Linked DNA regions of Arabidopsis thaliana. The protein of the gene in region 1 interacts with the protein of each later gene in a pairwise test. Each region holds a gene or a part of one and is shown in the gene's direction. Other genes may lie near its edges. The genes, in order: AT3G11150, SK32 and GSK1.

Region 1 (9,624 bases):
TTGTTAGACAAAACAAGAGGAGTTTGGTGAAGAAACCTATTTGAGAATTTGAGTCAATTACGTTTCAATGTTTCACACCCTATACCTATTGTTTCAATAGGGACAAACCAAATCTCATGCTACTAGTCAAGTTACATGGACGGTGAACATAAAAATTGAACCAAGTGGAAATTGAAATTAAACATGCCAAACCCAACTAGTTGGACCAAATTAGTTGGTCAGCCTGAAATAAATTAGCCCAAGAGATTTGTACAAAATGAACAATAGTGTCGCTCATTTGGGCTAGGGCCCAATAGTATAAGCCCATTAAACTACAGAACTCTCAAAAGATCCGACCTTTTTTATTCTCACAAATCGCGTATAGACAAAGAAGAAGAAGAGCGAACGAACCCTAATATCCGATCATGGCACCGAACAACAATCTGAGGTCCTTAATCGCGCTGGTAAATTAAAGATTCCGTTATGATTATCCTTTTTTTTTTTCTTTTCTACAGTCTTTTTTTTTGTTGTTGTTTGTTTACTTTCTTTGTGCAATCTATTGAACAAGACTAAAACTTTACAGTGCCGCAATTCATCTTCATCCCACCATGGTAACGTTCTCTGATTCCGCATGAATTTCTTTCAGTTTGGGGAGAAGAAAATCACAAATAAGAGGCGAAGAAGAAAAGAAGAGCGAACCCTAATTTCCGATGATGCCACTCAACAACAGTCTGAGATCCATAATCGCTCAGGTAAATCGAAGATTTATATCTTTTTCTTTCATTTTTGTGTTGGTTTCTTTTCGATCTATTGAACAAGACGAAATCTTTACAGAGCCGAAATTTCTCTACGAGGTCACGCGGTAATTTTTCTTCTCCCCGTCGTAGCAGAGGTAACGTTCTTCTGATCATAATCTATCAAAATTCGCAAGTGTAATTTTCTCGGAACATGGGGTTTCGATTTGTGATTCTTCTTTCGATTTTGAAGGGTCGAAAAGAGCCGAAAGAATTGTTTACGTCGGCGTTGAGTTTAAGAATTTTGTGCCATCGGTAATGAACGGATTTTATGCTTTCTGTGCGTTGGGTAATGTTCAGATATTTCGTCAATTTCTTTTAGTTTTTTTTTTCTTAATTAGAGATTGGAAAAAAAACAAATCCTTGATCTTTTTTTTTTGTTTCCACCAGAAACAATCCAGGTATTCGAATATCTTCGAACGATGGAGAGAGATCTGAGAGAACGTTTTCCCGAAGTGGTATGGATTTCTATAAACATTTGGGAGATTTTATGAGTTTTTGTTTGTTTCTTAAAAACTAAAGTGTTTTCACTCTTTCAGGAAGTACAGCAGGATCCGTTTAGTTGGCTCGTCCTTTTATTGACTCCACGAGAAAAGAAAGCAGACAATTAGTTTTTTTTTTTTTGTGAACAAAATGAATTAATTAGATTGTTCGTTTCGTCGCCGCAACTACCTGCGGCTGCGGCAGACGCAGCTATTTATGTTCGTTTAGTTGCCGCAACTACCTGCGGCAAAACGCAACCGCCGGCGGTAACTAAACGAACATGCTCATTATAATCTGTGATTGTGAACTTGTGATGTTGCTTTGTGTTTCGTCTTTTGTTCGATGTTGTGGGAAAAGAAACAAACTTAATACTATAATCTATGGTTGTGCTGATGTTTGATTTGTGTTGTGTGAAATCAAACAGACCAAAACCATATCAGAAATCAGATAGTTTAGCTCGTGGTTTTGTGGACTTCTATATCGAGGTTTTGTGGAGAAGTTGTAGGCTTCTATATCGAGGTTTTGTGGACGGCCCTCGAATAGTTTAGCTCGTGGCAACTAAGATGAGGATTCCAGTGCTTCGGCTCTGTGGCAACCACGCAAATTTCTAAGTTTTGCGAGCTCGGAATCGGTGTTTCATCTCGTAACTTGGTCTTGAACGCTTAGAAGCGATCCAAAACAATTTGAGTAGTAATATTGTATTTATCTTCTGTAGATTGTTTTAATCTGTTTCATGTAATCTCTGTAATTCTGTCCAAAATCAAAAATGGTATAAAACTTAACCTTTTACCAAAAAAAAAATGAAAAAAAAAAACATATCAGAAAATAACTAGAGGCACACAATTTACATTCATGATCAATTCCGTAATTCAGTGCAAGGATAATTTGTCAACAAAGTACATACTGTACATATAAAATTTCAGGTGAATGTCGACATTAATTGAGTAACAATGGAACAGACTTTGGGATTCAAGTTTTTTTTTTTAATATTATTAAATTGAATATAAACTGATTGTGAATGAAATAAACAATGAGAGTAACTCAGCTAGGGCACAATAGTATAAGCCCATTGAACCACGGAACTCTCGAGATATCCGTCAATGTTACTCTCGACAATGTTACCCATTTTTTTGAAGAGGAGAAGAAAATCACAAATCAGAGGCGAACCCTAATTTTCGATCATGCCACCGAACAACAATCTGAGATCCGTAATCGCTCAGGTAAATCGAAGATTTTTTCATGATTATCCCTTTTGTTTTTTCTTTTCTTTGTGCGATCTATTGATCAAGACGAAATCCTTACAGTGCCGCAATTTCTATACGTCCCGCAGTAGCAGAGGTAACGTTCAAATTTGCAACCGTAGGTTTGGTTTCGAGGTATTTGTCGCAAGGAAAACAAAAATCTTTTGACCGTTTTGTTGATATCATTTGTGATTGTAGAGTGGAAGAGAGAGATGTTTTTAATTCGAGGTCCAGGGATGGCTCTGGGATTGGGCTTAGGTATGAATCGATGAGATATATTTTATACTTTAGATTTTCTTTCATTCTTTCTACGAGTCGAGTCGAAATTAGTCAGCTTGCTATTTTTTTTTGTGTGTGTGTGAAGGTTATATTGTGGTTGGGGGAAACGTATCGGAACTTGAGGCAGATCGGCGACAGGTTAGTTAGAAAGGAAAAAAAAATACTAATAAAAAGACATCGTTGTTGTGACCATTGCTATTATTTCATCTTCTTCTCTATGTGTGTTTCAGTGGACGGGAGACCACGTCGATTTAAGGAAGAAGATGTGGCCAGAACTAAAGGATAAGGAGTGGTTTAGGATTACGTCAAGGATGTGGTCTGAGTCTGATATAAGGAAAAAGATGTTGCGTATGAGGTCTGATCTATGGGAGTCTATGGGAGTCAGCAGGTCGTCTGATCTATGGGAGGAAAAGATGTGGGATTATCTAACGAAAAAGATGTGGTATGATCTATGGAAAAGCATGTGGTCTGATCGATCTTAGGGAGAAGGAAAAATCCTAATTATCTTCAAGCTTTTTGTATCCGGTCATTGTGGAGTATTTGGGATGATCTAAGGAAAAGCATCTGGTCTGATTCCTAACTATCTTCAAGCTTTGTAAATGTTCAACGTGGAGACCAGAATAATCATCAATTAAGAGAATCTGTTTCTGTCGATGATTCTGATGCCTGGTTTATGGATTGTTAATAATAACCACCTAATCATTTAAATGTCGCGCAACGAGTAAATCACACACACAGTTTACTTCGACACCGGACAAGTACTGTTTCAATTCATAACTCCACCAACGGATTTCCATTACTGGATCCGAGTATTTTTCTCGACATCGAGAGCTTAATTTGGTGCTTTTTACTTGAAAGTCTTGTTGAGTTAAGCAAAGGCTTTCCATTGACACTGCTAGATACAGCACCGAGTTTGTGTGATCAGAAGTTTGAAGAAATCGTTTAAGAAGGAAAGGAGAGAAACGATTGATAATTATGCAACTAGTCTGGATTGATACCATGGTCCATAGACAACCATATCCAAAGTAAGGGACATTTAGGAATAATATACGCGAAAAAGTTGAGAATATTTTCGACAACTAACCAAAACTTTACAAGGGAACAGTGCAGGAACTTTATATAGTTATATATATGCGCATGCAAATAACAACTATATTACAAACTCTTTGATCATGACAGCATTCCATACACTAGCTTGATTGGTTATTTAATAGGTATTTTTTCTTATTAACGAAATAAATCCCTTAAGTTATTATTTTTATTTACATCCAAATAAATGTAATATTATTTCTATTAATTTTCCACTACCAAAATAGGAATTTCGAACTATATATTTGTCTTGTTTTAGTATTTCTCTGTACACCTAGCTAGCAGCATCTATTTATGCAGATACATTCTCATGATAAGTATTTTATGATTCTAATAGATACACGTACAGATGAGGTTACTCATACATGGAAATACATGTTTAGTAAAATATAATATTTGTGGTAATTTCAAAAAAGAGAATCGTTTTCCCAAATTTTTACTATACAAAAGATCTTTTACTTAGTTTGTATCATATTTTCCTCATTATACACATCAACAATTCAACAAATATCAATTTTGTATAAAGATGATTTTATCATGTTTTTCTTGTCTGTTGGTTATATTTGTGTATTCCTTCATTTTGCGATTCTAAAATACTAATAAACACATATAAGAATATTTATCGGTTCAACCAAAAAACAAATTTCCGTAATTAATCATTCCTCTATGTTGTTAGATAACAATTTTCTTAACAAAATTGCTAAAATCTGTAATGGCAAACCCACATATAAATAATATTTGCCGCCTCTAGTTTAAACAAGCATGTAAAAACGTGTTATCGGAAAAAATAACATAATAATTGTAAAATAAATATGCAAAACTTATGTCATTGAAAGAAAAAAAACATGATAAATGTACTTGGTGAATGGTGATATTGTTTTTAATTTTTACAAATAAGATGGTAGAAAATTAGGTTATACATAATCCCGCACGTGTGAGTAAAGCCTTATATATTCCATGCGTACACGCAAGTTATACATATGTTTTCACATATACGCTCTGCCTCTTCCAAAGTCACATCCATCTTTCAATGGCTTTCTCTTCAGCTCACCTCAACCACCACCAACCTTTGATCAAGCACGGTGGAGCCACGGCGGCGCCTCCTCCGACCCCGTCATGCTCACATCTCAACACCACCAGCAAATCGGAGACAGCAGTTGACGCTCTCTCCAGTCTTTTCCACCGTCTCCCTCCTTTGCTTTCACTCCCCAACCGTCGCTCCATCCCTTCTCTTCCGATGGTATCTCTCTCCGCCGGAGATAGACTTGAATGGGACGATCTTATCTCCGCCGTGACTGATTTCGGCTATTTCCAACTCATTAACGATGACTCCGATATTCTTTTCCCTCCTGGGATCGCTGAAGCAGCCGAGTCTGACTCACTCTCGCTCTTAGAGCTCAGTGAAGAGAAGAAGGAATCATCGTTTCCGAAGAAATGGCCGCTAGGCTACGAAGCCGATGCTGAAACGCCATCGTTTTGCCTTGACGCCGACTGTTCAACCGACTCGAGCGAGTTAAATCTGAGTTCGCTCCGTGAGTTCACTCGGACTCTAGAGAAAGTTGGACTGAAGACGGTAGAGATGCTGGCGAATGCACTTGGGTTTGGATATGATTCAACCCGGTTTAATACTCTGATGTGGGTTAACCAAGGTGTTCCTGATGATGAACCGGAGGTAACCAACGGATTTTATCCTTTTGTTGTTTGTTTACAGTATCAGATAAGGGAACAGAAGTATTGTTTGCTAACCGAGTCTGGTTGGGTGTCCGTTTTACCCCGAGTTGACTCGGTTCTTGTGACGTTGGGTGACATTGCTCAGGTTAGTTCTCTTTTGCTTTTGACAATTGACAGAACACATATATCTCTTTTATTTATCTATAATTAATTGGTTAGTTGTCTTCCTTAAATAATTATCAAATTATCATCCTTTGTAATGGAACTTTATTCCACTATACCGTTAACTGGCTGTTTTAATGTATTTTAAACATTATCCAAAATAAATGTTTTCCAACGCATCGTTCAAAAAGAGAACAAGAATTTGGATATTTCCGATATTTATTGTTGACAACAACAACAATTGTGGAGCATAACCGGGGAATGTGTTTTCACTTTTCGTTTGAAACAGATTTATGGCATTGGGAAAGAAATAAGAATTTGGAAATTTCCGATATTTAAATACTTATACACATCACATCGCAATTGTACTTAGTGTCCTATAGAATTCAACAATTCTTTTTTTTTTAGGTCAAAACCTAACAGCTTTCTACAATATAGTTTTCAACTTTTGAACAGCTAACAAACAACTTAAAATTGGCAGGTTTGGAGAAATGGAGAGGTCAAAAGAGTGAAATATCGACCAGTGTTGTGTTCAGGACAAAAAGATGGTCCAGTAAAGTGTGTAACAATGACATTGATGCTTACACTTCCCATGGACAGTATGGTTTCATCATTGAAGGATATGATCAGTGACGGCGACAAAGAAGAAGAGTATGCAGAGGAGGAGGAAGAAGATGGAGGAGCAAGAAGTGATGAGAGAAGGGCATTTAGGCCTTTTAGTTTCAAGGAGTACGCATGGAGAGTGTACCAAGAACGTCTCTTCTTCAGGGATCCACTTGACAGATACAGAATCAAATCTTTAAAAGATTGACGAACCGATGTTTGATTTGTTTGTTTCTTTCTTGGGTTGAATTGGTACTATAGTTCTTGTTGTTACTTTTTTTCCCCCATAAAATCTTTTGATTTTCAGCGGATTGTTAGCATTTTAGCATTGAGATATTTTTGTTTTTGTTCGATTCAGTTCAGAGAATGTTCTATTTTGATAGTCACTCCATCATTCAACTAATTTTTTCATATATACTCATATCAAAACTGTCACTATTTCAAAATCAAACTTTTAGGTTACACCAATGACTCTATCACACTAAACTCAACTCCTAGATTTTATATAGAAGAATCTATGACTTTGATGATGTACTTTAAAACTGAGTCTTTTGAGATCATAACCAAATTCTACTTCATAACTTTTGTTTTCCAATGTTGATTATTTGTTATAATTAGAAGGTGACACAAACGCTTATAGCATCCTGTTTTTGAAAATGAGGAAATACAGTGTTGGCTTTTAATCTCTCATTGAGGCAGAATATCAATGAATGACTTCAAATCTACGTATACATGTTTACTTATTTAGTGATCCATATTGGTGTTGCTCTTTAATTTTCTTGTGAGAATGAATTATATACATCAAAATTGATTATATCATTTAATTCGAGTTAAAATTATAAGTAATACAATCTTCACTAAACACTAATTAAATCGACGTAAATTTCTTATACGATTTTTTCATGCAACACTTAAATCGACATAAATTTAAATATTTTGGTCTTCATACCCTAATTTTGATAAGATATAATAGAAAATTTCGTATATCTTTTTTTTTTTTTGGTAAAAAGTTTTTTTTTTTTTGTTTCATCTCCATATTTAGAAAATTTATTTCAAACTTCGTTCTCGTTTGTGTTCATCTTAATTTTTAACCATGATTGAGTCATTGACCATTGCTCAAAACATACGCATAAAATTCCCAAAAAGTAGTGTGTGTCGTGACAAAACCCGACCCGTCGATTTACGCGGTTTGAAACTCGACCCGAATACTATCCGAACCCGTAACTTTGGCAAAAGCACATCGTACAGCTCAGGCACTTGTAGCACGTCGTCTCTCCTTTGGTTTCTCTCCTTATATTCGACGAGTGACTCCGATTGGATCGCTATTTCGTCATTTCTCACTTTCCAAAAAGAAAAAAACGAATCTCTCTCCACCATCATCACCTTTCTCCTTCACTTGCCTCAGATCTGGCTGCGATTTCAAATCTTCCTTAGTTTCTCTCGCATCGCTCGGCCGTTGACGGTCCCGTCCTTTCCGTGGATCTGATTCTGGCCCCGGATTCTCTCGCCGCGATCTGAGGTCAAACATGGCGGCTGCTAACGCGCCCATCATTATGAAGGAGGTCCTAACGGTGAGTTCTCTGTTTTTAAATCTCCGGGAATCGAGCTAAAATTTTGGACGATTAACATGTTTCTATAGTTGTAGTCTCTGATTTCTATCGATTTGGTTCTGCTCACACTGTTATATGATTGATTCAAGTTTCATTCTGTTCTCAATTCTACCCGATCGTTGAGATCAAGTTCTCTGATCAGATTTTCTCTGCGGACGCTCAGATCTGTGTTATCTGAATGTATATAGTCCTTAGTTTTAAGTTATTGTGTTGCGCAATGTGCTTATCTACTCGGATCTTGTAACTAAGTTAATGAACTATGCCAATTGATTACTTTTGTTTTGGAAATTTTCCAGCTTCCGAGCGTTGGGATCGGTCAACAGTTCATCACCTTTACAAATGTTACTATGGAGTCTGATAAGTACATATGTGTACGAGAGACGGCACCGCAGAACAGTGTTGTAATTATCGATATGAATATGCCGATGCAGCCTTTAAGGAGGCCTATAACTGCTGATTCTGCTCTTATGAACCCAAACTCGAGGATCCTTGCCTTAAAAGGTATTACACTGTTTCCTTCGATCGCATTATCACTTATAACACCCATAAGATTCTCCTTTTGAAGTGTATGATCAGTTATAAGACCCATAAGTGGTTCCTATTAAAGTTTTCTCCAGAACTACCATTGATAGCTTCTCCTTCATTTTGTTAACTGTACATATGCTATTTATTACGGATAGGATGTTTTGATTTATTTGAAGTTTAAATGACTCTGTCCATGTTGTGATGCGTCACTTGATAGAAAACCTATTTTTATTAAAGTAGTATGGAAGTGTAACTACACTCTTCGAGTTTATGTTGTAGTCCTATACTCTTTTTCTGGATTTGGGGTGATAGCATGTTTAATGCTGTAGAAAACATCAGTATAGCGCTCTCTGTTTTCCAACACGTGTTATATTTCTCGTGGCAGTGTTGTGTCTCAAGCTTAGTGTAGTTAAACTAGAAATTTTGGTTTGTACTGGATGTTTCCTTGTATAAGCTATTACTTATTTCTTCCTTAATTTGTTGTTAACTTTTTCTTAAATTCGTATCGTATATAGCTCAAGTTCCAGGAACTACTCAGGATCATCTACAGATATTTAACATTGAAGCAAAGGCAAAGTTGAAGTCACATCAGATGCCTGAGCAGGTGAATTTTGAAGCAAACAAATTGTAACCCGATTATCTTTCATGTTGTACTCTTCAGACAGACTCTGATTTTACTGGTCTGAATTTTTTGGATATTATAGGTTGCTTTTTGGAAGTGGATCACACCTAAGATGCTGGGACTGGTCACACAAACTTCTGTGTATCATTGGTCAATTGAAGGTTTTATATCTTTAACTTACTGTCAGCTTCTTCATATCATGTATATGTTGTTTCTCATTTTTGCTTCGATATTTCCAGGTGATTCTGAGCCAGTTAAGATGTTTGATAGAACGGCTAATTTGGCAAACAATCAAATTATAAACTATAAGTGCTCTCCTAATGAGAAGTGGTTGGTCTTGATTGGAATTGCCCCTGGCTCTCCTGAGGTAGGGTTCCTGCACCACGTATTAGGTTGAATTAAGACATCATAACGGCAGTCATGTTGTATATTTTTGACGGAATCTTGTCATTATTATCCTCTGTAGAGACCACAATTGGTGAAAGGAAATATGCAGCTTTTCTCTGTGGATCAACAGCGGAGCCAGGCCCTTGAAGCACATGCTGCATCTTTTGCTCAGTTTAAGG
Region 2 (11,628 bases), on another chromosome or scaffold:
GCTTAACCAAGATGAGTACATGAGAACATTTTCATCTACTAAACCAACCGGTTTAGCTACTGAAGCTTCTAGAACCTCTGGTATGGTCATCATCAATAGCTTAGCTCTCGTCGAGACTTTAATGGACTCCGTAAGTTTTCGATTTTTTGCGATTTTTTGTTTTTATTCCCATATCTTTTTTTTGTTCTCTGATTATATTTTTTGTTCATCAGAATCGGTGGACGGAGATGTTCCCGTGTAACGTCGCAAGAGCTACAACCACCGACGTTATATCCGGTGGGATGGCTGGAACAATAAATGGTGCACTTCAACTGGTAAACCAAATATCTTCTTAATCAATCACATTCCGGTTTAATGTTATAGTAAACCGGTTTGAATATACTAATGTACGTACGTGCAGATGAATGCAGAGCTACAAGTTTTGTCTCCACTGGTTCCGGTTCGTAATGTTAATTTCCTCCGGTTCTGCAAACAGCACGCGGAGGGTGTGTGGGCGGTGGTGGATGTATCAATTGATCCTGTCAGGGAAAACTCTGGTGGTGCCCCGGTAATCCGGCGACTACCATCAGGATGTGTGGTGCAGGATGTGTCTAATGGATACTCTAAGGTAAATCAACTCTTTTAACCCCAAAGCGTTACATAATAGTAGTGAATAATAGTAATAATTAATCAGAAACATATTGGAATCTTTTCTCTAAAATTATTGGTTAATGAAAAATTCGATGAAAATGAAGAAAATTAGGATCTCTAGGTTATTAATTGGGTGATCACTAGACGAAGAAGCTCAAGCATCTATGACTCTTGTTTTTTAGCCATTACTCGCTGCACCCACTTCACTGTCACTCTCAATATATATTTTTTTAATCTTACTTCTCCAAATTTGATCTTTCTCTAGTCTTTGTTTTTCTCCTAAATTTTTAATTAGTCTTCTCTCTCAAACGGTATTATTTTCCTTTTTATAATCTGATTTTATGTCAGAATAAGAAAATGATTTGAATAGGCATTTTCTTCCTCGAATTTTGATCCCCGAACCTTCCGAGATTGCTAAAATTTTATGGATCCGGATGCTTCTCTTTCTGTCGGATTCTCTGGATTAGATTTCAAGTTTTCGACAAATGGGTCCGTTTCCAAAATCGAAAAAACTCATTTACTCATTTTCATATATGTTATTAGTATTTTGATATCTATTTCCCAAGAAGCATCTGTCCAAATTTATTTGTGCGCATTTTGGAAAGAACACATTAATTTCATATGCATGTATTGAAAAAAGCTTCTAATCATCGTTTAAATAAATCAATTTTTCATGTTTCTATTCCTTTCTTCCATGCGGCCTCGTATATCCCGTCTCTATCATCTTCAAATAGTATAGTAAAATATTTATTTCAATTGTCTTATTATCTTGAATTTTTATCCTATTAGCTTCTATTAAAAATTAACATATTATCTCATCGTGCAAGTGTATTTTTAAGTAGACCGTGTTTCGGTTGGTTTGCTTGTTCATATGGATTTGATTTCCGGTTTGTGCAGGTCACGTGGGTGGAGCATGCAGAATACGACGAGAACCAAATCCACCAGCTGTACAGGCCGTTGCTACGGTCAGGCCTTGGTTTTGGCTCTCAAAGATGGCTCGCTACACTTCAGAGACAGTGCGAGTGTCTCGCCATCCTCATTTCTTCCTCCGTTACATCTCACGACAACACATGTCCGTTTCTTACACACTTGTCATTATGCTTAACATAATTAATCTTGTCATTATGTTACAAAACTTTTGACCATTTTACATGCAAAAGCAGCAATAACGCCTGGTGGTCGAAAAAGCATGCTGAAGTTAGCTCAACGCATGACGTTCAACTTCTGTTCGGGAATCTCGGCGCCGTCGGTCCACAATTGGAGCAAGCTCACTGTTGGAAATGTTGACCCGGACGTTCGAGTTATGACCCGTAAGAGTGTGGACGATCCAGGAGAGCCTCCGGGGATTGTTTTGAGTGCTGCCACTTCTGTTTGGCTACCTGCTGCACCACAGCGTCTGTATGATTTCTTGCGGAACGAACGGATGAGATGCGAATGGGATATTCTATCCAACGGTGGTCCCATGCAGGAGATGGCCCATATCACCAAAGGTCAAGATCAGGGTGTCTCTCTGCTCCGCTCCAATGTAAGTTTTTCCATATCACGTACCACTCCTGGTTTAACATTGCTATTCTAACCGGTTAGTAGATCTTAGTTCAGTAAAACCGGCCTATAGAATAGAGTTCCGGTTTAGCTAAGAAGTGTGTGTGATTGGTTCGAGTTTTGTGGGGAATATGGATTAGGTGATTGTGACGTTTTTGTCCATGGAGTTGATAGTGGTATGAAGGACAAAAGAGTGGATTGGTAAAGGACAAGTTAGGAATTTGGGTGATATCAAAAGATGACACTATAATTTCAATTTATATTTGTTTATTAGTAAGTAGAAAACAAAAGTGTCACAGCTTTTGTAAGCGTTTCAAAAGTCAAAATTAATAGGACAGTTTCAACCTTTACTTAGCTTCTGTAGTTTTTGACTTTTCACCACTTCCTTTTTTTTTGTTGGGTCTATCTGAAAAGTTGTTTTGACTTGTTTTTCTTTTAACCATGAAGCGTTACTGTTTGGTCAGAATGGCAATTCTCGTAAATAAACACTTTAGCTGAGGTTGTTTTGGTTTTGTCAACTCTACAGGCAATGAACGCGAATCAGAGTAGTATGCTAATTCTTCAGGAGACATGCATTGACGCATCTGGAGCGCTTGTAGTATACGCGCCTGTCGACATTCCCGCCATGCATGTGGTGATGAACGGTGGTGATTCATCCTACGTGGCTCTCCTTCCGTCCGGTTTCGCTGTTCTTCCTGACGGAGGCATTGACGGTGGTGGGTCAGGTGATGGTGACCAGCGACCGGTTGGTGGTGGATCCCTCTTGACAGTGGCGTTTCAAATCCTTGTAAACAATCTCCCAACGGCAAAACTCACGGTTGAGTCGGTGGAGACTGTCAACAACCTAATATCATGCACCGTTCAGAAGATTCGTGCCGCTTTACAATGCGAAAGCTGATCTTGATCAAGACTGGCGCGTGCGTGTGTTTCTTTTTCTTAATGAATTGTGAATTTTTATATAACTTGTTTTTTTGGTCTTGTACTATGGGAGGGAGGGGGTGTCGAGTCAAGAACGAACCGCGCGAGTGGGCGAGATCCAACTCCTTTGTCACCGTGATGGGACAACGACGTAAAAGGGTTCGGGTCCGATCACGGTGGAGGAGTTGGTGGTTCGGGTATTGACTGGGGTTTGGAAACCCCCTCTTTACTCTTTTTGTTTGTGTTTGTTATTTTTATTATGTAGCGCGAGTAAGCCACACGCGTGGGGTGTGTTGTGGTTAGAAAACGCGAACTGTGAGATGATGATGTTATGTTGGATGGGATCTGTATCGTTTCAAGTTAAAAAAAAAAAAAAAGCTGTCTCTCGTGGAGCATTAAATGTATTTTGCAGGCATATTCATTCATTTAATGCTATACCTTGTCTCCTTCCTTTGCATGATATGGGGCTTACGTATTCCGCCATTTTCGTTGCGCCACGTCATTCCCTTGACAGACTGGTGCGATGAACCAGACGTTACGCCGTCGTTTTCTCCCTTCTGTTTGTTTGGTTCTTTTCTCTTTCTCAATATGTTGTTTTTAAGTTGCAGACAGGAAAAGAAAAACGTAAGCAAGTGAATTTAAATAGCTGTACGGTGGTGGGCTTTATTTTAAAGCCCTGGCCCGTTATGGCTAATGATTCCTAGATCTTATAACATTAATTGGGCCTACAACAATATCATGTGCCATTATTTATCCGTTCATTTTGCAAAGACTTTAGATTGATACTGCACTAATAAGCCCATAAGGCAAGTGAAAAATGTCATTTAATCCCCCAACTTTCAAAAAATGGTCATTTTATATATCAACTTCGTATGTGGCCGTTTAAAACATGAACTAAAGGTTGACTAATTTTTTAAACATGATCTTTCGTTGACCAGACTAAAATAGACATGCCGTTATCAGTCATTAACGGAACTTCTAATGTCCGTTATCATCCGTTAATTTTATTAGTCAAGTTTCAAATTGTGGCCATTTTAAACATCAACTTCTTATTTGGCCATTTAAAACATGAAGTAAACGTTGACTACCATTTAAGACATGAAAAATTCGTTGACCAGGCCAAAATAGACATGTCTTTATCAGTAGAACCTAGAAACTCGTTAATGACTGCTAATCTATCCAAAACAACGTCGTTTGAGAATAATCGAAAGAACATAAAGATTTTTTCCATATGAAATTTCCATATCAAAAAGTTTTAAGCAGAACCCAAGAACATAGTTTGATATAGAGATAACCGCAGTGCCAGTAATTGGAAGCAAATAAAGGTGTTTTCGTTTATATATTTGTTTTAAATTTTAAAAGGAATCATGGAAGCAAATTGAAGACTCATTATAAGATTGTTCGTCTTGTTTGAGCGGTTGTAGAAATAGATTTGGGGAACTGGAGTTTCATTTAGAAAACAATCCTGATTTTCTTTGGATTATTCTCAAAACAAAGTCATTTTAGGGATACTAATAGAGTCGTTAACAAGTGATAATGAATGTTATAAGTTCTTTTAATGAATGATGACAACATGTTTATTTTGGCTTGGTCAACGAATTTCTCATGTTTTAAATGGTAGTTAACTCTTAGTTCATGTTTAAAATGGCCACATATAAAGTCGATGTTTAAAATGACCACAATTTAAAACTTGACTAATAAAGTCGTTAACGGATGATAACAGAAGTTAGAAGTTCCGTTAATGACTGATAACGGCATGTCTATTTTGGCCTGGTTAACGAATAATCATGTTTTAAAAGTTAGTTAACGTTTAGTTCATGTTTTAAACGGCAGCATACGAAGTTGACGTATAAAATGACCATTTTTTGAAAGTTGGGGGATTAATTGACATCTTTTCCCATAAGACAATGGTTCAATCAGTAATAACCACATCCTCATTAACATTCCTCAGATAGTAAACTAACCAATATATGTTTTATTTTACTTCGTTTCTCAATCTAATAGATTACTTGAATTGTTTATAGATTACCTCATAGGATGATGATAATTAATAGTTTAAAATTTTGAACAGAGACATTATTAAAAATGTCTAAAAACAGTAAGAAATTACTAAAATTATCTGTTGCAGGAGCAAAAAGAGGGAAGTGGTCAAAGATGGTCAAATGAAAATAATACAGTGCCCGCATATTCCGCGTGGGCTTAGATGCAATCATTCAAAACCCCCAAATCCTTTTGCCTAATCCCGGGATACGTAAATAGACAAACAATACAGGGGTACTTTAGTAATCACAGCTTGTCGAAATCGGGCGGATTCATCCTAACCCGTCGGATGAGCTGCTGCGATAAATCAACGGTGAGGAGTCAATGTTTGACCAAAAAAAGAGTAGAGAGAGATAGAGAAAGAGAACGAGGCTGGCATGATTGGCTTTGCCCACGAGAGAGAGAGAAAGATTCCACCTGGGTTGGGTCGTGAAGAAAGAGAAGAAGAAACCGAAGAAGCTCGAAGAAGAACGAAGGAGATTCTTCCTTTCCCCAGATTTTTCGTTTGAAGAAGAATCGAAAAACTTAGATTTTTGGTTTTGCTTTCGGAGTTATTCGAATTTGAAATATCTGAATCTGTTGATTCATTTATTCTCCGCATGAAGCTGTGTTGGTGAAGTTTTTCGGAGATTTAGGGTTTCTGAGTTGTTCCTCGTTTGGTTGGTGAATAAAGCGAAGATGAACGTGATGCGTCGTCTCAAGAGCATTGCTTCGGGTCGGACCTCCATTTCTTCGGATCCTGTAAGTATCCATTTTCAATGTCTCTCGTTTCAAGATCAGATTGATTTTATATTTCTGATTGTTGAAATTTTTCTCTCATTCTCATCCAGAAATTACGGATTGATGTCGTTTATAGTATGTTACAAGTCAAATTTAAGCTTTTGAGATCTTTAGTTTTAGATATTCTAGTAAATGCTTATGTTTTTGTATGAATTTGATTATCTCTGCTGTTTCATTGATTTTGGATGAGTATGTTGATGTTGACCTGACTAATTTCGTGTTTTTGGTGTTTGTTTTAGGGTGGGGACTATGCGTTGAAGAGAGCTAAGCTGGATCAAGAGAACGACAACTTGTGTGTTGATCCAATGCAGGTTGACCAAAATAGTTCTTGTTTTGAGATGAAAGCTGACGTTTTGTCACAAGAAAGTGTTGCTGGAACGTCAAATGTGCCTGCTGTATCGGAAAAACCCGTGGATGATCAGCTTCCCGATGTTATGATCGAAATGAAGATTAGAGACGAGCGAAATGCCAACCGCGAGGATAAGGTGAGTTGCTTAATCAATGTATATATCGTCGTCGTGATCTCCATTAGCCACTGCTCACATCTTCATTTGGCTTGTGAAGGATATGGAAACAACTGTTGTAAACGGCAGTGGGACCGAAACGGGACAAGTTATTACGACGACAGTTGGGGGTAGAGATGGAAAGCCAAAGCAGGTCATTCAACTAACTTTTTTTCTGATTGCCGTTGTGTTTGAGAAAAGCTATTAATCATGATAGTCATTTCTTTTATGAAAAGATTGTTTCTCTTTTCACTTCTGTTGGGTGTATCTTTAATTTACTCTTTCTTTCTTGTTTCAGACTATCTCATACATGGCCCAGCGAGTGGTTGGAACCGGCTCATTCGGAGTAGTGTTCCAGGTAGGTGGAAATTCTTATAGCAGGAACATAACTAATCCTTAACTATTTGTGTTCCCAGAATTTGACTTTCTGTCTGATTTTTGGATAGGCCAAGTGCCTGGAAACGGGTGAACAAGTTGCAATTAAGAAGGTTCTGCAGGATAAAAGATACAAGAACAGAGAACTTCAGATCATGCGTTTGCAAGACCATCCCAACGTTGTGCGGCTGAGGCATTCTTTCTTTTCAACAACTGACAAGGATGAGCTGTATCTCAACCTTGTCCTTGAGTATGTTCCCGAAACTGTATACAGAGCATCGAAGCACTATACCAAAATGAATCAGCATATGCCAATTATCTTTGTTCAGCTCTATACTTATCAGGTGAGTTCTATTAGCTCTCCGGTTACTCGTTTCTAGTAATCTGTGTAGCATAAAGCTACAAATACATAGGAAATTTATAATTTCACTTATGCTGATTTTGTCATTTCTGTTGCTTTGTTGGATATCAGATTTGCCGTGCGCTGAACTACTTACATCGCGTGGTTGGGGTGTGTCACCGTGACATTAAGCCACAAAATCTACTGGTATAGTGTGAATAATTTCTGCTTAAAGGTTGGTAAGACGTATGAAAGGATAATTCATTGATTCTCTTATGATGTGGCTTTCATAGGTTAATCCCCAAACTCATCAATTAAAAATATGCGATTTTGGAAGCGCAAAGATGTTGGTATGTTCATTTTTTTTTGATGAGTTCTTGGAGATGAGTTATCATTTGAATAATGATGGCTAACACCCTTTGCGTCTCAGGTACCCGGTGAACCTAACATATCCTATATATGCTCCCGGTACTACAGGGCCCCAGAACTTATATTTGGGGCGACAGAGTATACCAATGCCATTGACATGTGGTCCGGCGGTTGTGTCATGGCAGAGCTTTTACTTGGTCAAGTAAGTATATTATACATTGTAGAGTTTCGGTTATGATGAACCATTTTATTTTGATTGATCAGTTTTCATTATTACTTCGAAATAACATTTAATCTGATAACAACTGTTGATTTTCTACCCGTAGCCACTGTTTCCCGGGGAAAGTGGCATTGATCAGCTGGTGGAGATAATCAAGGTACTTAACCTGATCCCTCGTGTTCCTTCATCTCTCTTCTATATTTAATTTACTAGTTTACTCATCTGTACATCTACCAGATTCTTGGGACGCCTACAAGAGAAGAAATACGGTGTATGAATCCGAATTACACAGAGTTCAAGTTTCCTCAAATCAAAGCTCACCCGTGGCACAAGGTTTGTTAAATAATCGCAGGTGCCTCTTTGGTGCGTGTGCTTGTTCAAATGAAATTTAATGTAGCATATAACTCTTCAGATTTTCCACAAGCGAATGCCACCTGAAGCAGTAGACCTCGTCTCAAGACTCCTTCAGTACTCACCAAACCTTCGTTGCACTGCAGTAAGACTAAATCCTGCTGGACACCACAAAACTATATAATCTCCTTGGCTGATTTGGAATTTTCTAACTCAAATTCTACAAAACACTTTTTTTCCATTTGTTAAGTTGGAAGCTTGTGCACACCCCTTCTTTGATGACTTACGGGATCCAAATGTTTCACTGCCAAATGGAAGAGCACTGCCTCCATTGTTTAACTTCACTGCCCAAGGTCAGTACATATATTATCTTTTACCTTAGCTTCATCCTTACAAAAACTGTGAAGTTATCATTAGCCGACTTTGTTTAGATTTCACAATCATATGTGAAGAGTAGAAATTGCAGCAGAATACAAGAAATGTTTTGACGGATTGGGTCTACATTTGGTTCTGTCACATTGATTTGTTGCCATTGTATGTGACTATTCAGAACTTGCGGGTGCATCAACAGAGCTGCGACAGCGTCTAATTCCAGCACATTGCCAGGGAACGGGAAGTAGCTCTTAGGATCATTTATAGCGTGTCCAAATCCAGCTTTCTTTCTCTCCCTCTATTTACTGCAGTGTGTACATCAATTTTGAACCACTTCTGCTTCCAAGCTTTTGTCGCCGGAGGAGAGATTGGAAATCTGTACGCCGGGACCTGATGAGGTGTGAAATAACTGGGGTCATGAAGCTTCTTCTTCTTCTTCTGACTGGCTTTTCTCTCAATTTGCTATCCTTGTTATTTTCACCTTCACTTTCATTTTTTTGTTTTTTTTTCCACAAATCTGACCCCCCTTATATGTTTGGTGTATCATTTTTATGTGTTTGTAATCCATCAAGATCATTTTCCCTTGCCCTAATATTGCAAGCTAAGATTCCGTTTCATGTTCCTCTCTAAGATGGTTTTTGGGTGAACAAATAAACTCTTAACGACATTTTTCTATTGTATCTCAGGACTGGCACAGATTCCAGGTAAGCTATTTAACTGAAATGCACATGTTGTTTAATTAAAGTTGAAAAGCGAGGAAGATGAATGAAGAGTTAACTAACTTCACAATCGGACGAGTAATTAAACTATACTGTAGGAGTCGAAAGTCCTGTAACTTTGACACGAATTTGTGTTTGGTTAAAATTTTGAATAATTTACTCAACTATTGGAATTTAACCACAAAAACCCCTTTCACTGTCGAATATCTCTTTAGTCAAAAGACAAGAGTTCATACATGTTTAGTCTGTGTGACCTATAGATCAAAAGAAACAAAACCCTCTTTTGGTTTCTGCAATAATGGGTTTTTTAGTACAATAAAGTTTCAGGAAATGGATTTCAAAGCTAATAAAGGAAATGACTCCTTCAATTCAATGCCCATAAAAAGAGGCACAAGAAGGGCAAAACACCTCATACAACCAGAAGAAGAGGGTCTATAGTTTTGCATTGCTCTTGAGTGTTTTCCCATCATTGTGCTCAAAAGATTCATACCCCTTTTACTTGGTAAGATGTTCTTTCATCTTTCCCAACAAGAAAAATCTTAAATGCTATATATCTTACTTCACTCGGGGAACTCCATTCATCTTTGCTTCAAGGTTCGAGCCCTCTTTCAGTGCGATTTGAGATTCCTTCTCCATTCCCAGGATACCAAGGGAAGCAGACTGCAGATATGATGCGACATGCCACACGGGAGAGATCACTTGAGCCTGAATTGCATCATCTAAAGCTTCTTTCGGCATGTCACTCATTAGGTAACACAGACTACGCCGAGCACACACTGTTGGAGAGATCATTCCTCCATCAATAAACTGTCAAAGTTTCAAGAAAGATAATCAGGCTAATGCTATGTGTTTGTCTACTTCATTTTATGTACAAAACAAAACTCGACCTGTGTGTAACACTCGATGGCCTCTCTAAAGTCTTTTTGCCTGAAAGCCACATCACCCTTCTTCTTCGAGTTCAAAGACTCTTGCATCTGGTCTGTCCACATATGAAACGAGAGCTGCATTGCCAAACCAAAGTAACGCAACACCATGAAGAACCAAGAAAGAAACTATTCACTGATTAACAGAGCCAAACCACTGATTCTTCCAACATAATTCTGAAAAGGTACCTCATTGGTGACACCCTCGTCGTCTTTGTATCCAAGTTTCTCCAGGATCTCAAGCATAGCGGTCAGGTCCCTTCTTGAACAAGCCTCACCAAGAGGGGACAGAGGAGAGACTGAACCACTGTGAGGTAGACCCATTAGAACATGAGACAGGACCTGCAATTTACAATACAAGGAAAATTATCTCGAGTTAACAAAAAGAAACTTGGTCCAAGTTATTCTAATGGCTCGGAAATCAATAGAAACCTCTGTCTCCTTCTGAAGAGGTGTCAAGGCAGTCACTAAAGATTTGGTGTTTGGCCGCTCACGAGCTTCATACTGAAGACAACGAGAAGCTAGGCGTACTAGCTCTGTACCATCACTATCAGAAAACTGCCCATCTAGGCAAGAATCAGTTAGCGTCTGGAGATTTCTGTCTCTAATCAGATCAAGGGCCTGTATAAAACAGATTGAAAGAATCAACCTTCACCTTTTCAAGTAAAAGCTGCAATCTCGTATGGAAAACAAACTTATTATGGCTAAAATACTTACATGGCTAGGAGGTATATGTTTTCCGCTGAGAAGATCAAGCAGAAGAGTGCCAAAGCTGTATATTACACTCTCTGGAGTAATTCTCCCTGTAAATACAATAACAAACAGAACGTGCAACTTAATCTCAACCATATGAATCTTGGAGAAAAAACCAATGATGTACCAGTTCGTAGATATTCAGGAGGGGTGAAAGCAAGATTAGTGCTGTAACTTTTTCCATCCCGACTATTCTTCATCAAGCCAAAAGTAGATAGTCTTGGATTGCATTCCTTATTAAAAGCCCCTTAAGGCGTCAGAGAATGAAGGAATAGCATAGAAACATAGACAGGTTTCGAAGAAAGAGGAAAAACTGCTTATATATAACTAATAAATACCTCATCAAACAAAACCCGGTAAGCATTGAGGTCGTGGTAAAGAGTACGGCCTTTGCTGGTGCAGTATTCAAGAGCTTGTGCTAGATATAAAACAACTCGTAGCCTCATAGTCCATTTCATAGGTTGAGTTTCCCCTAGTAGCATAAAAAGTACACTTAGACACCATAACTTCCAAGACTAGCATGGCAAGATTATTAAATGAAAGGCTATATATAGGAAAAATGATTCTCACAGTGAAAAAGGTGTTTGGCTAGTGTTTCATTAGGCATAAACTCTGCTACAAGTAACCTCTCGTCACCTTCGCAGCAACATCCGAGTAAATTGGCCATTCTCTCACTCCGTAGCTGACCAACCGACCTCGCTTCCTCCTGCACAAGGAAGAAGAACACATTCTCAACATCAAAATAAAAAGAGATGAAACAAACTACAATTTCCAAAGATAAGAACATACCAAG
Region 3 (11,696 bases), on another chromosome or scaffold:
AGAATTTTTGACATTTTCGTTGAGTTCGTTTTTTTAACTTGTGTACCGACCTGATCAACTAGTGCATTCATGTGGTTCAGACAGAAACACCATAACATCAAGGTGTTTTTTGGTAACAGGAAAAAAAAAAAAAAAGCTACACGCGAAGTTAGACCGAGTCAGTATTTTTTAGCATAGATGACTAGTGGGGATTGATTTGATGTATCTATAAACCTTGAAATGTGTGTGGAAAAAACTTTTGACCTGTTTCATTGCCAACAAAACAGATTTTAGTCTACTAAACGAATAACATCAGCGTTGGAAAAAAATGGTGGTCCTGCTTTTCAACTTGCCTCTTGGAAGGAATAGTGGATCATAAAACCTCTGAGTTTTGTTGCTTCCGATGCAAACAATAATATGTGACGCGGTCGTGCTGGCCAATTTCTAGCTAACTTTGATGCCAATCCTAAAAGGTCCATTAAGAATTGGTCTGACTCATCAAAATCTCCTAATGTCTTCGCTGTTTCAAAATAATAAGAAGAAGAATCCTTAAGAATCGCATAGAAGCAAAAACTGTGACTCAGGGGCGTGATCCATTTACCTTGGTGTGTAGTCGAGAAATCGCATTGGAATGTTACTATGGAGAGTGGAATAATAATAATAAGGAGTCGAATGGCTTGGCATGAGAGAGAGAATGCTCTTTACTCTCCCTTTGTATCCTTTTTTCCGATAAGTCTGTACATCGCATCCTTGGTTCGTGTCCATTGAGAAAACAAGAATTCCTTTTAGCACAATTAGAAAGAAAGAAAAAGAGAGTAACTCATAAACTAGAGTGTTTAGTTTTTTAACTTGATAGAATAAACTCATGTGTAGTGCCTCGGGATATTGGTAGCAGGCAAAATGAAGACTGGAAGTCTTAGTTTAGGAGACCACTTGATGATATGGTTATTTCCAGGGACTTGCTTCTCTTTAATGATTGATGATAAATCAGATGCTTCCATTTGAGCAAATGTATACCCAGAGAATATCAAAGCTATGGGTAACACAGGCAGCACAAACCTGTCATTCATAATCAGAGTAAACGACATGGAAAACATAATTCACAATGAAAAGATGTTCCCATGTGTAGTTTACATTTATTCAAGTACATCCATATTACCTGAATTACTTATGGCAGAGTATGCTGTATATATCTGCTAAGATCCATTGGATAAGAGATAAAAGCTTTTGATTTGTAGACTTGATAATTCCCGCAATGAAAAAAAGTGTGAAAGTGAAAAGCATGACAGGAAATAGTACCAGTGCCATGAGCGAGTTCCGTAATAGTCTCCACCGGATGAGAGGAAGCTTCAGAAAATTGAGAGGCACAATGACCCATGAGCAGCATATCATACGGTCCAACAGACAGGTGAAACCGAGGACCAAAGACCTAACACAGCAGAAGCTAGTAAGCGCAATGAAATGTTCAATACAAAACATTAAAACTAACATTAAAGAATACAGCTGCAGAGTTAAAATGCAAAAACGAATAAAGAGGAAACAGAGGGATCTGGGATCTCTAACTCACTTCCGGTTACATCAACCTCTCAACATAGTAGGAACTAGGAACTATCAACATAGTGTAATGGTGAGCTGGCTTCACTTTGTTCGTCATTAACCTAGGCAAATCTTATTGGAATTGCAGTAACATCAGATTTTGGAGAAGCCTATATTCAAAATCAATATTAACAGGTTCTAATTTTATCTTCTTAGTAGACCAAAAAAGCTTTTACATCATCTGCAAAAGTAACAACACATTGTTAATACCACAATTCAAGATTTCTTGTAAAATAATGAAGAAGTATACTGACCATTACGTAGGAAGTAGTATCAAGGCCCGTCACATGAAGAACTTTATACAATGGGACGCAATGTCAAATGACCGCACGGCGCACCTATCCATTATGATCAACCTGAGAAACACTCAGCAGCATAGAATTGACACAGGTTCAATCACTCACCACAAAATCAGAAAATTAAAGCGATTGCAATTTATCTTTATTTTGGAAACATTACCAGAATACGGTGCCAAGGGATTGAGATAATTGAATAAGAATATCTGCCTCGGAGATCGAATTCGCTCTGATTTAGAAGAGCGTCACTACACGAATCAGCGTTCTTCCGCTTCCTTGTTGCCATTGAAGAAGACGCAGCCTACAATGAGTTGAAGAGGTACAGAGGAAAGCTCTTAATTAACCGGAAACGGGAAGCAGCGTCGATTTTCGCCGGCAGTCGGGGAAGCGCGAAGAGTTTCGCCGGCGGTCAGAGAAAACGATTGAGCAGATGACAATTTTACCCCCAGAAAAAAGGATAAAGTGGCGCATCATTAATAAAACGCATATAATTTTTGAGTTTTACAAAAAAAAAAATCGAATAAAATGTCGAAAGAAGAAAAAAAAAAGAAAAAAATCGTAAACCCTATAATTTTTGCTCAGAACCCTAATTCCGCAAACGTAACCTGTGTTCATTGCGCCGTCTTCTCACCGGAGAATGAGTACTACTACTACTACGGCTGCACTTCCGCAGCGACACCAGTCGAAGGTTGACCCGCAGAACGTTAACAGAGCCGTGAAGTCTCTGCTAAAATGGTGGGACTCCAAATCCAAGACCGAGAACTCTGAATCACTCGAGAACGACGGTTTCGTCTATCTAATCGTGACACTGAAGAGAATCCCTCAGTTGGATCGTACTAACCCCTTGATGATCCCTCTTCCTCATCCTCTCATCGATCTGGTCGCCGAAGATCCGCCGGAGCTCTGTTTGATCATCGACGACAAACACAAGAACAAAATCACAAAGGAAGCGGCTTTGAAGAAGATCGAAGCAGAGAAGATTCCAATCACCACAGTTATTAAAGTCTCCAAATTGAAATCCGATTTACGCAAATTAGAGGAGGAGAAGCGATTCGAGTTGTATTTCGCGGAGAGGAGGCTAATGCCGATGTTGCCGAAGCTGTTGGGGAAAGAGTTTGTTAAGAAGAATAAGACTCCGATTGCGATTAACTTAAGGCATGGTAGTTGGAAAGAGCAGATCGAAAAAGCTTGTGAATCAGCTTTGTTCTTCGTTGGTACAGGTACTTGCAGTGTTGTTAAAGTAGCGAAGTTGTCAATGGGAAGGAACGAGATTGCAGAGAATGTTGTAGCGGCCATGAATGGGATTGGTGATTTAGTTCCTGGTAGATGGAAGAATGTTAAATTGTTTCATCTCAAGTTACTTGAGAGCTTGGCATTGCCTGTTTATCAATCAGTTGCTTGATGAATTTGTTTAAAGAAGCTGATGGATGATCTGGTTCCAGTGAGTCACAAGTTTTGGTTTGTTTTCTTAGTGGAATTTGTGATGCTGTAATGTTTAAGATAATGCCTAGACTGAACAAAACTGTCTAGATTGATTAGAGTGAAACAGATGGTTTTAATACAAATTTCCATGAGTGGGTCTTTTGATTGATTTTACTGGTATCTTCTTTTGTTATGCAGATATATAGTCACATGAATTCTCTAAAAAAGATGGTTTTTGGTGATGTATTGGAAAGAATATTAGTTTTCCTACTCTATTGAATTACTCTCCACAAAGGTAGATTCCATTGATCTTTCTTTGTTTGACAATTGTTCTTGTTCGATATCACAGTAACGGTTATATATCTTTTCACTTTCCAATCCCTTTGACTCAGAGTCTTATTTTTGTATAGTTTACGTTCCCCACTACTGCTTGTTAATCTTACATTTTCGTAAACTAGTCTCATCGTCATTTTTTTTAGCCCTTTGCAACTTAAATTTTATCTTTGTATGAATGCTAACTGTAATTCTTTTGTTGGTTAGTGTAATGAAAAAGAATCTATCGTTAACTATTGTCTTACAAAGGCAACACTTCAGGCTAAAGGGACAAAGAAAAGTCTCTTTAAGTTAAGCTTAATATCTAAATTGGGAAATATGATTGGAGTATTCATTCATTTGATACCATTATTATTCAGTTAGAATATTTAATGGAGTTCTAACTCAACTTAGTAATTTAGTTATCATTAAATGCTAAGGAAGTGTTTATCAGAATTTTTCAGTGCTTTATCAATTAAAAAGTAGTTTTCTCATTGGACCGTTACATTCACGCGCTCTAGTCTTCCGTGGGTCCTCCATTGTCTTTGAACCATTTCTGAAATTTAGAAGCAAAGAGAGAGGAAAAATTAGACTTTACTCATTGTTCAGTGGTTGAGAGAGAAAAGAGTAAAAAAGCACATGGCCTCATTACCATTGGGGCCTCAGCCTCATGCTCTTGCTCCGCCGCTGCAGCTTCACGACGGCGACGCTTTGAAACGCCGTCCTGAATTGGATTCTGATAAGGTTTATTTCTCCCCGTCTCTTTGTTTTGTGTGTTACTGTTACCGTCTGTGTTTGGTAAACAGTGCATTTGAAATTATCGTTTGGTGGCTGTTCTAGATCTACTCCGATCTAGCTCCTACTTTCTTTGTTCTATGTCTTAGTTCAGTCGAATCGATCTATATTCTCGTGCTCTTGTGTTTGTTCGTCGCTTGTATTGATCTGAGCTCACCGGAGAGTTTTTTTGTTTCTTTCTCCGACGAGGCGTTTTGATAGGAGACTGTGATTTTTACTTCATTTGTATGCATGCAGTAGCTAGATTACTCTTGGTATCTCCCAGCTACTACTTCAACCTTCTCTACCGGAGATCTAAGTAGCAGTAATCTTCGAATCTTGTTGAAAAATTTAGTGTAAAATAATTTGAGATAGTTTCTTGCGCTTGGGAAACTTACATTTTCAGTAAACTAGGTTGAATATTTCCCCTTCATATTTGTTTTTGGATATTTCGATTGTTTGTTTCAACACTGTTCACTTTCAAGTACAACAATTTGCTTGTTTGGATATTATTTATTTCAACACTGTTCATTCTACAAAGTACAGTTTACTTGTAGATCTCTGAATTCACTCTCGGTAGGTTTCGGAGTATTCCTTTAGTTATGGTTTTCTTGGCCCATTGCTTCTCTGTCTCTGTCTCTCTCTCTTTTCTATTTGCCATCGACATTTATTCTGAATTTTGTCTTATGGCTTGTCCTTCACTCTGGCAGAACTTCTTCCATTGACTTGTATTTTGTATCTATGATTTTTTTTTTTGTTCTATATCTAATACCCATAAATTGTTTGACGTCTAAAATCACTACATTTTTGAACTTCTATCACCATTGTTTACCTCTGGTTAACCCATGCTTTACTTTATTTTTCTTATTCTTTCTGCATCTTGCTTGAGTGCTTCTATTGGCTTGACAACTGGTTAGTTGGTACATTTTATATGTGTTAGCTTCACGTTTTCAATATAAGTTAATTCCGACCACTTGTATAATAGCAATAACAGCATTCTCATACAGTCATACCTATCCTGAGGTTTGTTGAAATAATCGGATGCAGTAAATGCTTGCCATCTCTATTCCACCTTGTAGTTGATCAAAATAGTTTAATGTCTATACTAATATGTGAGGTGGATTGCAGGAAATGTCTGCAGCTGTTATTGAGGGAAATGACGCTGTTACTGGTCATATCATTTCCACTACTATTGGAGGCAAAAACGGCGAACCAAAGCAGGTTTGATGCTAATGTTTGCAAAATCTCTTAGATAACTAACTAGTAGTTAACACTTACGGTTATAGCACAGTACCATGTGTAAGGTTTCTGCGGGGTCTGGGTTATTCATTTCGCATCAAATGCTCCAGCAAGTGTTACTTTCCCATTAAAACCCTTTTTCAAGTCAAATTAATTCATCTCTCCCTTACATGATCTTCATTCTGTCCCCTACAGACCATTAGTTACATGGCTGAGCGGGTTGTTGGAACAGGTTCATTCGGGATTGTTTTTCAGGTATTTTGTGCTTCTCTGTACTAGCGGTTCCAGGACATAAATTCTCTTCTTTCTTTCTGATCAAGTCTGAAATTTACGATTTTAGGCGAAATGCTTGGAAACTGGAGAATCAGTAGCCATTAAAAAGGTCTTGCAAGATCGACGCTATAAAAACCGTGAGTTGCAACTAATGCGACCAATGGATCACCCAAATGTCATCTCCTTGAAGCACTGTTTCTTCTCTACAACGAGTAGAGATGAGCTCTTCCTCAACCTTGTTATGGAGTATGTACCTGAGACTTTATACCGGGTTTTGAGGCACTATACTAGTTCTAATCAGAGGATGCCAATTTTCTATGTCAAGCTTTACACATATCAAGTATGTACTGTTATTTGCAGTTAGTTCTCACAAATATTATAATTTATTAGAATTTACTCTGAAACTGATTTGAAATATCTATTGTGCAGATCTTTAGAGGTTTGGCTTACATCCATACTGTTCCCGGTGTTTGCCACAGAGATGTGAAACCACAAAATCTCTTGGTACGTTATCTAGCATGCCATGTGGTTTGTAATCTTGACTATTTCTGGATCTCACTTTCTGGTGCATACTGTAGGTTGATCCCTTGACCCATCAGGTTAAGCTGTGTGATTTTGGAAGTGCAAAAGTATTGGTAAGGGTGTTATCTTTTCATTATCTCACCTTTTTTGTGTGTTTTCGGCTTGGTTATGTATCTACGCATCTAGTTCACTGAGCTACCATATAAGTGTGAGTTATACCATTAAGTGCGAGCAGCATGTTCTCTGTTTTGGTAACCCTTTTAAATTTTTGGTAATTCACTATTAGGTCAAAGGTGAACCAAACATATCATATATCTGCTCCCGTTATTATCGTGCTCCAGAACTGATCTTTGGCGCCACAGAGTATACAGCATCCATAGATATATGGTCTGCTGGTTGTGTACTGGCAGAGCTTCTTCTGGGCCAGGTTAGTGTGGATTTTTATGCGTTAATTACCTTGTTAAATAAAGAGTCTCTGCAAAATGCAAAAAGTGCGCACCCAATGTTATATTAAGCCAGTCTCTCTCTCTCTCTACAGCCGTTATTTCCAGGAGAAAATTCAGTTGATCAGCTTGTGGAGATCATAAAGGTGAAGTCTCCTTTATTAGACTAATGGATGTGCTCTTTTTTGTCTTTGGTATTAGACTAGAATCTAGTAAATATGTTACCATAAGTACACTTGCTACCTTGTTTTAGGTTCTTGGTACTCCAACTCGTGAAGAAATTCGATGTATGAACCCGAACTACACAGATTTTAGGTTCCCACAAATCAAAGCTCACCCTTGGCACAAGGTAGTTCATCTCACCTTTTGTTCCTGGTTAAGCAATTACTGAACTCATTACCTACACAGTATACATTGAAGCGATTCATTTATAGCATCAACCATATACTGTACCCTTGACCTCCAGGTTTTTCATAAACGGATGCCTCCAGAAGCAATAGACCTTGCATCTCGGCTTCTTCAATATTCACCAAGTCTACGCTGCACTGCGGTCAGTATCTCCCTCTTTTTTTTATAATCGAAAGTAGTCGTCAGTGATAACTCTTTTTGAATCTTCCAAGTGTTGGATAAAGCTAAGATTCATTTTAACATTTGTCTTGTTCTCTGTCTATTTTTAGCTCGAAGCATGTGCTCATCCGTTTTTCAATGAACTCCGAGAGCCAAACGCCCGTCTTCCAAATGGTCGTCCATTACCGCCATTGTTCAATTTCAAACAAGAGGTAAAAATCAATAGCAAAGGATGATGTTTCTTTAGTGGAACTTCAACATAACCCAATTTGTTCTTTGGATGTGGAAACAGTTAGGTGGAGCTTCAATGGAGCTAATCAACAGGCTAATACCTGAGCATGTGAGACGACAAATGAGCACAGGATTACAAAACAGTTAAAAACTGTGCATGTCTGAAGAGAAAGAGGAGAAAAGCAGGTTTACTACTTTTATTTGATAGTTGACAGGTTCAACAGTATATTAACCACGACTATTATCAGCTTCTATACCCGTAGTAAAGTCATATTCAGCTTTTTGAGAAATCAGATGCTGATAATTGCGTTTTTTTTTTTTTTATTCCGTAGCCTGGAGAGTGGAGAGAGACACTGTTCCTCGTGTATTTTTGTATATGTTTTTGTCTGTAAAACAATTCTGACAGATACGTAGAGACAAAAGAAAAACGAGGTGATAATATTAAACCATGTCATGTCCAAAAGATTAGCTACAGATGTTTTTTTGTTTTCTTCTCTCAACACAAAAGACTAGAGGGATAAATAATCATCCTCTTAAATTAAAAGTCGCTAGATCTATTTTCGAAATGTTACGTAGGTGATGATTTGCATTTCTTCAGTTTATTACAAGTTTACAAATTACAAGTGGTGGGAGTGTTGAAAACAAATTACCAATCATGTACTTAAATTTTAAAGGACCTTACAGGCCAAAGTTACCAAAGCATACACATGATCTTAAAAGTAATCGTTTCTTATTTCTTTTTTGATTGCAAGACCCAAAGAGATTATCATTTGTTGTCTCACCCTAACCAAATCAAGCCAAATCTACAATCCCCCCACTCTAGTTAGAGCAGCAACCCATTCTCTTAAGAACCGATCCGTCTTCTTTAACGTTTATCGTCTCTCCTTTTCCCGGTAAATCAGCCGACTCTCCTCCTCCATCAACACTTCTTTTGCTCACTATCTTGTGGATCTGAGTGAGCACTTCCGTGAATGCGTTTTCAACATTGGTTGCGTCTAGAGCTGAAGTCTCCATGAAATAGAGGGATTCTCTCTCAGCAAAGGCTTTAGCCTCTTCTGTTTTGACTGCCACCAAGTGACGCAGATCGCACTTGTTCCCTATAAGCATCACCACTATGTTTGGGTCTGTGTGTCCTCTTAGTTCCCTTAGCCATCTTGCTGCATTCTCAAATGTTGCGTGCCTTGTCACGTCGTAAATAAGCAAAGCACCAACAGCTCCTCTGTAATAAGCGCTTGTGATTGCTCGGTATCTATCATAGCATAAACAAAACCAGCATTTTCTCAGATGTTGTTAACAAAGATATAATAACAACTACAATAATAAGTTCAGTAACATTACAGATTAAGTACACAAAGTTAGACTATTTTCGATAACCATATTACATGGTATCCATCTACCAAATGGTTACTTTGTAAAGTTACAATCGCAGAGTTAATGAAGAATTCTGCTGCAAAATTCAAAATGTTATCTATGTCTAGTGCAAGACAAGACAGAGGAGATGAAAGAAATGTTGTTTTCAACAAGTATATTGGGTTCAGAAGTTCATCACAGACGAGCTCAGACAAATATCAATGTGTGAAACGGATGGAACAGCACAATACTAGTATAGTAACCGAGGTTTAGATAACAGATATCTACAAACAACATTTTAACAACGGGAATTGACCTAGACAGGAGAGGATTGAATAAGCTAATCAAGTAGACCCATATATGAGGGATACAGATCTATGAACAAGAATCTTACAAACACAGAAGCTATGCCACAAAAGAAAACCATTAGTAGCCCAAATGTGAATAAAACCTAAAAGTATATTCCGAGTAAACTGCAGCCTGCGAGCGATATTCAGCACAATTGAGATTCTGAACCATATTGAAAGTTGCTCAAGTCTAAGAGATTTACAAATTCAGACACAACCAGTTTCGTTCCGAAAACCAGAAAACTCTAGTTCTGCCACAAATAGTCGTAACTAGTAAACCAACAAGGAAAAATGAACAAGACACTTTGAACTTGTAATATCCAAATCAGGCTACAGATTCAGATACATAAATCAAACACCATGAATTCATAAACAGCGAATCCAACAAGAACTCAACAACGAAATCGAGCCAAAAAGGATGGTTTTTTAAAACCTTATCCTAAGGATTTTCAATAAAGTAAGCAGGAAAAAAAAAGCAAGAGAGGAAACGTAATCTGACCTCTCTTGACCAGCAGTATCCCAAATCTGAGCTTTGACGACTTTGCCTTCGACTTTAGTGGTTTTGGTAGCGAACTCAACACCAATAGTAGACTTGGATTCGAGATTGAACTCGTTCTTGGTGAACCGAGAGAGCAGATTCGATTTGCCGACACCAGAGTCGCCGATCAACACGAGCTTGAAGAGGTAATCGTACTCTTCATCGGCTCTGTAACCAGCCATCAGATGAGAGATCGAATTTTGGGATTAGGGAATTGGGTTTTACTGTGTTGCTTGCTGCTGTATTATTTGATGATAATGAATTAATGATTCAGATGATGACGATGAAAGCTTTTGTCGGGTTGGCTCTAAATCACCCTTTTTTCTTCTTCTTTTTGTTTTTGAACAGAAAAAGTTTAAATTTTTAAAAAGATGATTCCGCTTAATTAGTTGCACATTTTAGGAAATCTTCTCCATATATTGTTAACAACTTCCACTCACAACATAATCATTTTTAACTTAATACAGTTTTCTAATTACAATTTAACAAGATTAACAATAAACAGTATACACCTACTTTTCTAAAATTTATCTTCAGGATGAAGATACTATTTACTTTCATTTTCTTAAGTTTGGGTTTCAATGAATGTAGCTACTACTCCTTAGCTAGCAACCTGGAGAGTTTATAAAATTAGAGATATTTGTATTGATTTTTAAAAATATCAAGTTTACTTTTTTATTAGATTATAAATTTTTGAAATTATGTATTACTCAGAAACTTTCTACGGTTCACATAACACCTTACTATAATGTTGCTCCATCCGAACAATCGTGTTACTTATGCAACATACACAAAGAATAGCTAAAACATTTCTGGTCCATCTCTCTACTAAGGAAAATCTTGAAAGCCCAATAATTCAATAACATCATCCTAATTAGACTCATGTATATATATTTTGTTTTCTCAATATATTTATTCACATATAGGTACAATTTTAAAAATCACAACAACTACAATCTGACAACACAAAAATCTTATCGAGGTTGTAACTGCAAGCCTACAACTAATCAATCATTAAAGACAATATTAGACAATGTGCAACCAACAATTAATTTGACCAACTAGTTTCATACGGAGTAGTCTTTGTTTTTTTATAGACCAACATTAACCATAAATAAATCTATTCCCATATGCTTCCATTTTTAATTAATTCCTGTTCCACTAACGAATACCATCCAAAACAAAAACGTATGACACTTGATCACTCTGGTTCACCACACGCTCAAAAGCGTCCCCTGTTTCGACACGTGTCAAACGGTCCAAAACGAGGTCCTAGACACGTTTGGTAAGTCACTTAGCTATTTTAGCCCCAAAAGTGGTCCACACATCGCATCGCACACGGCATCACGCGTCCTCACGTTCTTTCTCCATATCACGTGTCCGATCCTCCACGCGCTTCTCCTCGCGCGTAACGGACTCATTGGTGTACTCGTGCCAGCTGGCAATAGTGCGAGTCCGGCTGGCTAACTAGCCTTATCCAAATTTTCTAAACGGAAGGGAAGTGCTATTACCACTGAGGCTGTCACCTTCTTTCTACGTCACGGACAAATCCAATTGGTCCTCAAGTACGTTGTTTAATGACATGTACTTGTGGACAGCGAAGCAAAGCAACGACTCGGTGACGGTCGTTCGATTCCTTTTAAATGTAACCAGAGGAGAGTCTTAAGCCCCTTCGATTTGACCAGTAAATAATCATAGCTAAAACCAAACCTTTTATTATTAAAAATACACAAAAATATCAAAAACATAAAATAATATTTCATATCCAAGAGAGCTTCCATACACACACGATGTACTACGACTCTTA

The links.
Region 2: the proteins of AT3G11150 (region 1) and SK32 interact in a two-hybrid assay, tested with the Arabidopsis thaliana proteins (one large-scale study listed by BioGRID).
Region 3: the proteins of AT3G11150 (region 1) and GSK1 interact in a two-hybrid assay, tested with the Arabidopsis thaliana proteins (one large-scale study listed by BioGRID).

The regions. Positions count from the first base shown.
Region 1 is NC_003074.8:3,489,871-3,499,494, reverse strand, and holds AT3G11150 (2-oxoglutarate (2OG) and Fe(II)-dependent oxygenase superfamily protein), read left to right. Parts: upstream 1-4,841; 5' UTR 4,842-4,895; coding exon 4,896-5,681; intron 5,682-6,179; coding exon 6,180-6,509; 3' UTR 6,510-6,691; downstream 6,692-9,624. Other genes in the region: AT3G11165 (uncharacterized protein), read left to right, coding at 405-443, 626-731, 967-1,062, 1,164-1,231, 1,313-1,329, 1,420-1,549; AT3G11160 (uncharacterized protein), read left to right, coding at 2,438-2,476, 2,561-2,594, 2,696-2,755, 2,862-2,914, 3,007-3,258; AT3G11130 (Clathrin, heavy chain), read left to right, coding at 7,828-7,872, 8,208-8,412, 8,952-9,040, 9,141-9,219, 9,298-9,425, 9,525-9,623.
Region 2 is NC_003075.7:291,183-302,810, reverse strand, and holds SK32 (shaggy-like protein kinase 32), read left to right. Parts: upstream 1-5,331; 5' UTR 5,332-5,808; coding exon 5,809-5,871; intron 5,872-6,149; coding exon 6,150-6,395; intron 6,396-6,474; coding exon 6,475-6,567; intron 6,568-6,711; coding exon 6,712-6,771; intron 6,772-6,859; coding exon 6,860-7,132; intron 7,133-7,260; coding exon 7,261-7,335; intron 7,336-7,421; coding exon 7,422-7,478; intron 7,479-7,558; coding exon 7,559-7,699; intron 7,700-7,823; coding exon 7,824-7,874; intron 7,875-7,954; coding exon 7,955-8,050; intron 8,051-8,129; coding exon 8,130-8,213; intron 8,214-8,318; coding exon 8,319-8,421; intron 8,422-8,618; coding exon 8,619-8,695; 3' UTR 8,696-9,223; downstream 9,224-11,628. Other genes in the region: ANL2 (Homeobox-leucine zipper family protein / lipid-binding START domain-containing protein), read left to right, coding at 1-130, 213-314, 401-607, 1,528-1,702, 1,794-2,155, 2,699-3,070; BSK3 (BR-signaling kinase 3), read right to left, coding at 9,715-9,966, 10,047-10,160, 10,272-10,424, 10,515-10,703, 10,800-10,885, 10,963-11,068, 11,174-11,307, 11,406-11,541 and 1 more.
Region 3 is NC_003070.9:1,942,616-1,954,311, forward strand, and holds GSK1 (GSK3/SHAGGY-like protein kinase 1), read left to right. Parts: upstream 1-4,130; 5' UTR 4,131-4,244; coding exon 4,245-4,349; intron 4,350-5,507; coding exon 5,508-5,600; intron 5,601-5,813; coding exon 5,814-5,873; intron 5,874-5,958; coding exon 5,959-6,231; intron 6,232-6,320; coding exon 6,321-6,395; intron 6,396-6,469; coding exon 6,470-6,526; intron 6,527-6,699; coding exon 6,700-6,840; intron 6,841-6,951; coding exon 6,952-7,002; intron 7,003-7,109; coding exon 7,110-7,205; intron 7,206-7,322; coding exon 7,323-7,406; intron 7,407-7,533; coding exon 7,534-7,635; intron 7,636-7,715; coding exon 7,716-7,802; 3' UTR 7,803-8,235; downstream 8,236-11,696. Other genes in the region: AT1G06380 (Ribosomal protein L1p/L10e family), read left to right, coding at 2,509-3,273; ARA-2 (Ras-related small GTP-binding family protein), read right to left, coding at 8,474-8,903, 9,851-10,071. UniProt on the Arabidopsis thaliana protein: Phosphorylates BSK1, BSK3, BSK5, BSK6, BSK8 and BSK11 in vitro. May mediate extracellular signals to regulate transcription in differentiating cells.